2 linked regions of the Sus scrofa genome follow. The protein of the gene in region 1 purifies or fractionates together with the protein of each later gene. This does not show direct contact. Links are inferred from orthologs where the notes say so. Each region holds a gene or a part of one and is shown in the gene's direction. Other genes may lie near its edges. The genes, in order: ANKRD17 and HOXB6.

The links.
Region 2: the proteins of ANKRD17 (region 1) and HOXB6 purify together in Homo sapiens (co-immunoprecipitation; 3 studies listed by BioGRID and IntAct, with this or other methods). This does not show direct contact. The link is inferred for Sus scrofa from reciprocal best matches to the Homo sapiens genes ANKRD17 and HOXB6.

Annotation. Positions count from the first base shown.
Region 1 is NC_010450.4:69,363,700-69,367,513, reverse strand, and holds part of ANKRD17 (ankyrin repeat domain-containing protein 17), read left to right. Parts: intron 1-2,721; coding exon 2,722-2,970; intron 2,971-3,456; coding exon 3,457-3,635; intron 3,636-3,814.
Region 2 is NC_010454.4:24,850,625-24,855,017, reverse strand, and holds the start of HOXB6 (homeobox protein Hox-B6), read left to right. Parts: upstream 1-1,523; 5' UTR 1,524-2,930; coding exon 2,931-3,345; intron 3,346-4,378; coding exon 4,379-4,393. UniProt on the Homo sapiens protein: Sequence-specific transcription factor which is part of a developmental regulatory system that provides cells with specific positional identities on the anterior-posterior axis.

The DNA of each region.
Region 1 (3,814 bases):
TGCTAACTTAGTGGCATTGTTTTTATGAGAGAATTTGGGAAGACTCAAAACCTGTGCCACTACTGTTTCCATTATTCTAGAATTCCATTTTATACCAGCGTAATTTTAAGTTGTATTTTTAAATATTTATAATTACTTTAAAGACTGATGTGGCTTTTCCATTTTCTTATGACTTGTTAAAAGTAAATACTATGAAGGAATGCTAATGGATCCATGACCACAGGAATTATGTTTTAATTTTTCATTAGAAGGTAATAGTTTTCTTGGTTTACTTTTACAGATGACAAGCCCTCACATCTCATTTTTTTTATTCTCCAATAAAATCAATATCCATATAATAATTTATAGGGTACTTTAGCATTCATTCCTTTTAGTTAATAGTTACTGCATCTCACTGAGTAGTGATACTATCAGTTTAACTAAAACAGACCTCTGTAAGCACTAGTAGGATGGGATTGATCTCCACAGTACTTTCCAGTTCTGTATTATTCTAAAACACATATGAGAAGTCTTTTTTAAAAGAAAAAAAACACTTCAGGCCAATAATATTACTGAATTTTTCTGTGTCTTCCAAATTCCCTAAAAAGTACCTTGGGAAGTAGAAGCACTATGTTTGTGTGTATGGGCAGATAGATTGATTTTATAAATTTATTAGCTACCTGAGTCCCATTGGATAGATACAGACACAAACGTGTTTATACACACACACATGTATATAGAAAACTTAAATGTAAAGAGAGCTAAATGAAAATATATCATTAGGAGTTCCCATTGTGGCTCAGCAATAATGAACCCGACTAGTATCCATGAGGACATGGGTCCCATCTCTGTCCCCGCTTAGTGCGTGAAGGATCCAGCGTTGCTGTGGCTGTGGTGTAGGCTGGCAGCTGCAGTTCCAATTGGACCCCTAGCCTGGGAACTTCCATATGTTGTGGGGTGTGGCCTTAAAAAGGCCAAAAAGAAAAAATAAATTAAATATATATCATAAAATAACTATCACTAGGGCATAGAGTCAGGCATTTGTGGTTAAATTATAGCTTTGTAGGTAACTGTTTTGACTTTCAAGCTTCAAGCTCCTCCATAGTTTAAACTCTATCTAAATTTAAATGTGCTTGGTATTTAAAGTTTTCTCAATAAATACAGTTTTGGTTTTTATTTTTCCTTCTCTATAGTGTGTAAAGACATTAAATCACGATGCATATTCCCAAATTGCCTATATTAAGAATCAACCCTGGAGTTCCCGTCGTGGCTTATTGGTTAACGAACCCAACAGTCCTTGAGGACACAGATTTGATCCCTGGCCTCGCTCAGTGGGTTAAGGTTCCACTGTTGCCCTGAGTTGTGGTGTAGAACAGACATGGCTCAGATCCTGCATTGCTGTGGCCGTGGTGTATGCCTGCAGCTACAGCTCCAATTCGACCCCAAGCCTGGGAATCTCCATATCCCACGGGTTCAGCCACAAAAAGAAAAAAAAAAAAAAAGGCAAGAACTAGCCTTGTTTTTATAAGTAAAGCCTAAATTGTCTTTTTTTTCTTTCTTTTTTTTTTTTTTTTTTTTTTCTTCTCTTTTTTGGGCTACCCCTGTGGCATATGAAAGGAAGTTCCCAGCCTAGGGATTGGATTGGAGCTGCAACCTCCAGCCCATGCCACAGCCACAGCAAGGCCAGATCCAAGCTGCATCTATGACCTATACTGCAGCAATGCTGATCCTCAACCCACTGAGCAAGGCCAGGGATCGACCCCACATCCTCATGGATACCAGTTGGGTTCTTTACTGCTGAGCCACAATGGAACTCCTTAAATTGTCATTCTTATTTATTTATTTGTTTATTTTTTTGCTTTTTAGGGCCATTCCTGCGGCATATGGAAGTTTGTCACGTTGGAGATACAGCTGCTGGCCTACATCATAGCCACAGCAACATCGGATCTGAGCCATATCTGTGCCCTATACCACTCACAGCTCAGGGCAGTGATGGGATCCTTAACCCACTGAGTGACGCTAGGGATCAAACCCACATCCTCATGGATACTATTCAAATTCGTTTCCCCTGTGCCATAAGGGGAACTCCCAAATTGTCATTTTTAAAAGTGTGTTCTGTGGACAAGGCACAAGATGCAATAAAACACTTGGGTTATAAGGCATACGCTTCTTTTGGTATTTTATCAGCATATTATGGTTCTGCGAAGTCTTGATTTAAAGAATCTTTTTTTTTTTTTCTTAAGCTAGATTTTCCAAATTTATTAGATATCTGAACATCTTTGTTTTTTTCATCATAACATACTTAGGAACAACATACTTAGGAACAGATATTCCCAAGGAAAATAGTTTGAAAATTGCCAGTATAGTCAGTGATCTTTCCCACCTGCCTTTGGTTGTTTGTGTTTTGAATTTAAACATTGTCTTCTCATTGTTCTGGTATTATTTTTTACTCACTGTTAAGGGTAAAGTTATTTAAATATTAAATTAATGTGTAGTGCAACATTTACATTTTCGTATGCTGTCATGAAACTAAATGGTAAAATTGTGAGCCAAATTTAAAAAAATGACTGCAAAGTCATAGAACTTTAACCAGATTTAATATACATAATTTGTTATTTAAGCATTACCCTCATTTCATTTTTCTTTAAAGGATTACATATTTAAGGTATTTAAGATTTTGTTTTATGAAATTACAGGCTTTATAGATAACGTGTATATTATTTAAAAATAATTTTTCTCTAGATTCTCCTGCACAGTCAGTATCCTCTGGAGTTCGTGCACCTTCTCCTGCCCCATCATCAGTACCTTTAGGGTCAGAAAAGCCCAGCAACGTCTCTCAGGATAGAAAAGTTCCAGTCCCTATTGGGACGGAACGTTCTGCACGTATCAGGCAAACTGGAACTTCAGCTCCATCTGTTATTGGGAGTAATTTGTCCACATCAGTCGGGCACAGTGGCATCTGGTCCTTTGAAGGGATTGGTGGCAATCAAGGTATGATATGCTCTAATGCGTACTAGGAATTAAGTTTATGCATTTCACTAAAATATTGTAAGCAGTATTTAACCTTAATGACATTCTTAGAAAAATATGTATTCATATTTCTTTGTTTAGACTATCTGTTTATTTAAGAGTTGTTGCCATGTTAATTGCCCATTGCTTTCTGAAAAAGTTTAGTGCAAGCATATTATTTTCTTCATTTCATCATGCTAAGGAGATGTTAATATTACTTTGAGGGCTCTTTAAGCTTTTATCTTAGCTCTTTTGTTTTTTAACTCAACGTGTTTAGGTTACTTTATTAGGCTAGTATATCACTATCTACAAACATGAAAATATTGCAATAAATATATGAGTAGATTATTATTCTGAAGGAATTCACAATTCAGTATTGAAAAATATTAGAAATATATAAAATTTTTTGCTGCTTTCTGATTTTAAATATCACCAATTATTTTTTTCTGCCTTTTCATTTTCCCTCAGACAAAGTAGACTGGTGTAATCCTGGGATGGGAAACCCTATGATTCACAGGCCAATGTCTGATCCAGGAGTATTTTCACAGCATCAAGCAATGGAGCGAGAGAGTACAGGAATTGTAACTCCTTCTGGTACATTCCATCAGCATGTTCCTGCAGGATACATGGACTTTCCTAAAGTTGGGGTAATGGTGCTTTAAATAAGCATTTCCATTATTTCTAAATGTTTTTCTTATTATTAGTCTTATTTCACTTGCCAGTATATAAGCATTTGTGAAATGATGCTGGAGCTTTGGCTTTGAAGTATAGGTTAAAAATCTGGCTAAAATATAAGTATTTATAAACCTGATTTTTGCCCAGTTGG
Region 2 (4,393 bases), on another chromosome or scaffold:
CCCACAGCCCGAAGAGCTAGGGGTGCGGGGAGCTTTGCAGCTGAGAGGATGTGGGGGAGCCTGGATAATGTCTCAATCTCCTTCGCCTCCACACACCTACTGGCAAATATCCTCCTGGAGATTACCGACCGGTACAGGAGAATTTTACTCCGGAGCTGAACACAGCTCAGACATTTCCCTGGGAGCTGGAATGTGTGTTTGTCCGCAGGACTTCAGATTCACAGCTCAGAAAATTACAATTATAAATCCTGCCTGTGGGGTTTCTATACAATCCTTCTGTTGTGTACTCAAGAGTTGGTACACATGTATATTCACCTCTTCGTTGAGCAGGGAGAGACACTCAGAGCAGCCGATGCTGCTATGTATTTCTGTACTCCCCTTTGGAGACAGACCGACAGCGGTGATGGAACCACAGACAGATTCATAGAGATCTGGCTCCAGAAACCAGGCAGCCTCTGGCCCAGCCCTGCCTGCCTGCTCTTTCTCCCAAACAAACGGATCAGACGAATAAACGCTCATAAATACCTCTGGGCTTAGATAAGAGCGATGAGGCGCTATTTCCTTTCATGCTGGACTCCAGGCGCCCAGGCCCTGCCTTTGCGGCTCCATCTCGCGACAGGCAACCTGCAGAGGTGAGGTTAATTTGGGGCTATGACTCTTAGGATAAGGCGATTATTTTCTGTGTCTTTATCACAGGGGAAGGCTTCCTCCCTCACTGAAGCTAATGTTGCCCAGGCTTCATAGGAAAGCCCACGGCTTCCAGTTCTCATGTGAGGACGCTGTGGCCAGTGGGGTGGCAGGGAGGGCTGAGGCCCAAGGCTCAGCCTCAGTGGCAAGAAGGAGGGAGATACATGAGGCACTCTGCCCACTTTGCTCCTCCTGCCCAGATGTTCCCCATTCCTCCCAGGAGTGGGCTTAATCATAGCTGGATTGGAGGCCTCATGACTCCATCATAAGGAGGCTTCAGTTTATTTTCTTCAGCCTTGACAAGACCCCCATAGAGCTGGGCTAGGAAGTGTTGGTAGGGCAACTGGGAATAGCCACTTAGCCTAGAAGTTGTCCTAAGTTCAGGGAGCCTTGTAGGTCACTTTGCAGCCAACTAAGTTCCCATCCTTGGTCACCAGCGACAGCCCTCTACCACTTCTCCTAGGGTCTTGTGCCATCTTCCATGGGCAGAGTTGGCCCACCAAAAAAGGAGCCCAAAGAACAAGCCAGAGGAGAGTCAGCTTGGCCCCTTCATCATCAGATTTCTGTCCCACACCCTGGCCCATTCCTGGCCCCAGGCCTGAAGGTTGTCACCCTTTATTCCTGGCCTCCATGTGCACGCCAGCATGTTGAAAACACACCTTGGCTCCATCTTCCAGCCTGGCTCCAATGCTCATTTTCCTTCGATGAGAGAGTGAGACAGTCAGAGGTGTACATTCTCACTCACACCAAAGCTTGTAGGCAGCAAGCCGGCGATACAAACATGAGATGTGGGAGGGATTGCAGAGATGCTGAGTGACAGACAGAAGGGTGGTGAGCATCTGGAGAGGGGATACGGAATGATAGTTGTAAGCTGCCTGCTGAGACCCAACGCCCCTCCCTCCTTATAAAACTAAACAAAAACCAAGTCTTGAGGAAGAATTAATTTTTTAAAAAGACCTGCCAGTTTCTGGAGAGACCTGGAAAAGGAGCAAGGGTTCCTCTCTTTCCAGTGGTCTGATTGCCTCCAATATCAGGAGGGTTGAAGGACCCGGAACTGGAGGAGGAACAATTTCTTCCCTGTACCCAGACTGACGGAGACACTTTTGATTCCTAAGAATCTGTAGCCCAGGATACTCTAATGTCTTTGGGGTTAGGAAGTGGGCGGGAAATGAGGGTGGCAGGCAGGATAGGGATCAGACAAAGGTAGGCTGGGGGGTGCCTCTCACCCCCCAAGTGGAGACAGGACCAGTCCCTCTTCCCAATGTCCCTTTTTTCCTGTGCCAAGAGCAAGCAGGACACACTAGAATCAGGCAAGATGTCTCGGGCAGCGGCAGCCATAGCCTTCCAAGAAGCTCCCAGCCTAGCACAGCCAGAAGGAGAAGCTTGGGCTCAGACTCTCCTCCCATTTTCCGGCCCTCTGGGTCCTCTGGGCAGCGGGCTCTGGCCTGCCCCCAGCCCATAAGAGTAATAGAGAAGTAGGAATAATAAACCCAGGCTTGGAAAAGTCGGGGTAGATCTGGGAAGCAGAAAAAAACGGCTTTCAAAATCTGGGAAGAAGAGGGTTTCTTCTTCACCGCTTCTCTCTTTCTGATAACGATGCTAATCAGAGGAGAACTCTTCCTCCCTGCTTTGAACACAAAACGCCAGGAACCAGCCCTGTCCTTTCCTTTAGTTCTCCTCCAAGGAGATTGAGATGCAAGATTTGGAGACATTTATCCACTTTCCCTTGAGGGAAGGGGGCTCAAGCAACGCAGGGGTTAACTTTTCTGAAAACACAATTAACTTTTTCCTATTCCGCGTGGGGAGGGGAGGGATATATTTATTTAATCACTGGGGGATGGGGTGGTCTCAGTCCAAGTGCTGCCTCCTCCCTCAAAAGCACAGACGCCTCTTTCGCAGATCCTACGTAGGTGGAACAGGACGCGTTGTGCTGTTGGGGAGAGAGAGAGAGAAGGCAGAAGGAGAAGAAGGAGGGGGAAAAAAAGGTTGATAGGTTTGTGCGCGGGTCCCTCGCGCGGGCTGCGCTCCTCCTGGGTGCTATTTGCCAATTCCTGCTTCTGCCATTGGTCAGTGTTGGATCAGATGGTTGTATTTCCTTCTGGCCCTCACTGGCACCTCGCCATCCCCCCTCAGCTAAAACCCAATCTCAGATATACTACTAATAGGCGCGGCGCTCGGACTATAAAACACAACAAATCATAAACCCGGCGGAGCAGCAGCGGCCGTGCGCGCCTCCCCTCCCAATGAGTTCCTATTTCGTGAACTCCACCTTCCCCGTCACTCTGGCCAGCGGGCAGGAGTCCTTCCTGGGCCAGCTCCCGCTCTACTCGTCGGGCTATGCGGACCCGCTGAGGCACTACCCCGCGCCCTACGGGCCGGGGCCCGGCCAGGACAAGGGCTTTGCCGCTTCCTCCTACTACCCGCCGGCCGGCGGCGGCTACGGCCGAGCGGCGCCCTGCGACTACGGGCCGGCGCCGGCCTTCTACCGAGAGAAGGAGTCGGCCTGCGCGCTCTCAGGCGCCGACGAGCCGCCCCCGTTCCACCCCGAGCCGCGGAAGTCCGACTGCGCGCAGGACAAGAGCGTGTTCGGCGAGGCAGAGGAGCAGAAGTGCTCCACCCCGGTCTACCCCTGGATGCAGCGGATGAATTCATGCAACAGTGAGTGAGACTTGCTGCGGCCGCCGCGACCCCCACGGGCCCCCCCTCCTCAAGACAGAACTAGCGAGCCCCCCTTCTCCCACAGGGTGCCGGGTGGGCATCTCGGTTGGAGCCAAGGCAACACTGGGCGCCTGCACCGGGTCTCCCGCGCTGCCCTCCCGCCCTCGGGAGTTGCAAAGTTTGCAAAGTCTCAGATGCACTCCGAGCCAAGGGGAGCGAGTGGATTCTCCCGGAGCGCCAGGCCGCAGCCGGGATTCGGGGTCAGGGAGGCGGACAGGGGCCGCAGTCACTGGCTGGGCTTCCCCTGGCGCCCCCAGCTCTGGTCGAGTCCCCGACCCAAGGACTGTTCATTAACAGCGGAGTGCGTCATGGGAAGGGGGGCGGCGTGACGCTGGCGAGGGAGAGTTGAGTCTGTCCCGGACTGGGTTTCCCTGGGGGTCGGGGGCTGGGGAAAGATGAGGCACCAGGAAAGGGGTGGCAGTCAGAGGAGGGAGGGAAAGCAAGGGGAAGAAAGAGAAGGAGCAGGCTGAGGGGGAGAGAGGAAGAAGCAGGCGCCTGGGTCTAAGGTTGGATTATTTGTCGGCCTTAAGTCCCAAATTGATGTCCATTAGCAGGACACGAAAGTGAGGAGCCGTTAATGCCCACTATGGATCGATCCACGTCATTGCGGATTAAGGGCCAGAATCTATCACGGGGTGGTGGGGGAGCCAGATGGATGGAAAGAAAAGATGCAGCTAGGAAGAGACACACCTGGCCAGTGCCTCCCCAGCCCCTCCCCCTAGGCTCAGGTGGGATTTAGAACTGCTCCTCCCATCCCCCCACCGAGAATCTAGACGGAAGGCGTAAGCCTAGGAGACCCGGAGGGAATCTGGAGGGGGCGCTGGAGGAATGAGGAAGCGGGTGGGGGCAGGGAAGAGGGAGAGTGGAGGGCATCCTGGGACAGGCTAGAGTCCACGTTTGAGGGCCGAGTGGGGGGAGGGGGGCTCTGGCCCTGGTGACCCCCAGGCCTCAGCATCTCCTCTCTGCGTAACAGGTTCCTCCTTTGGGC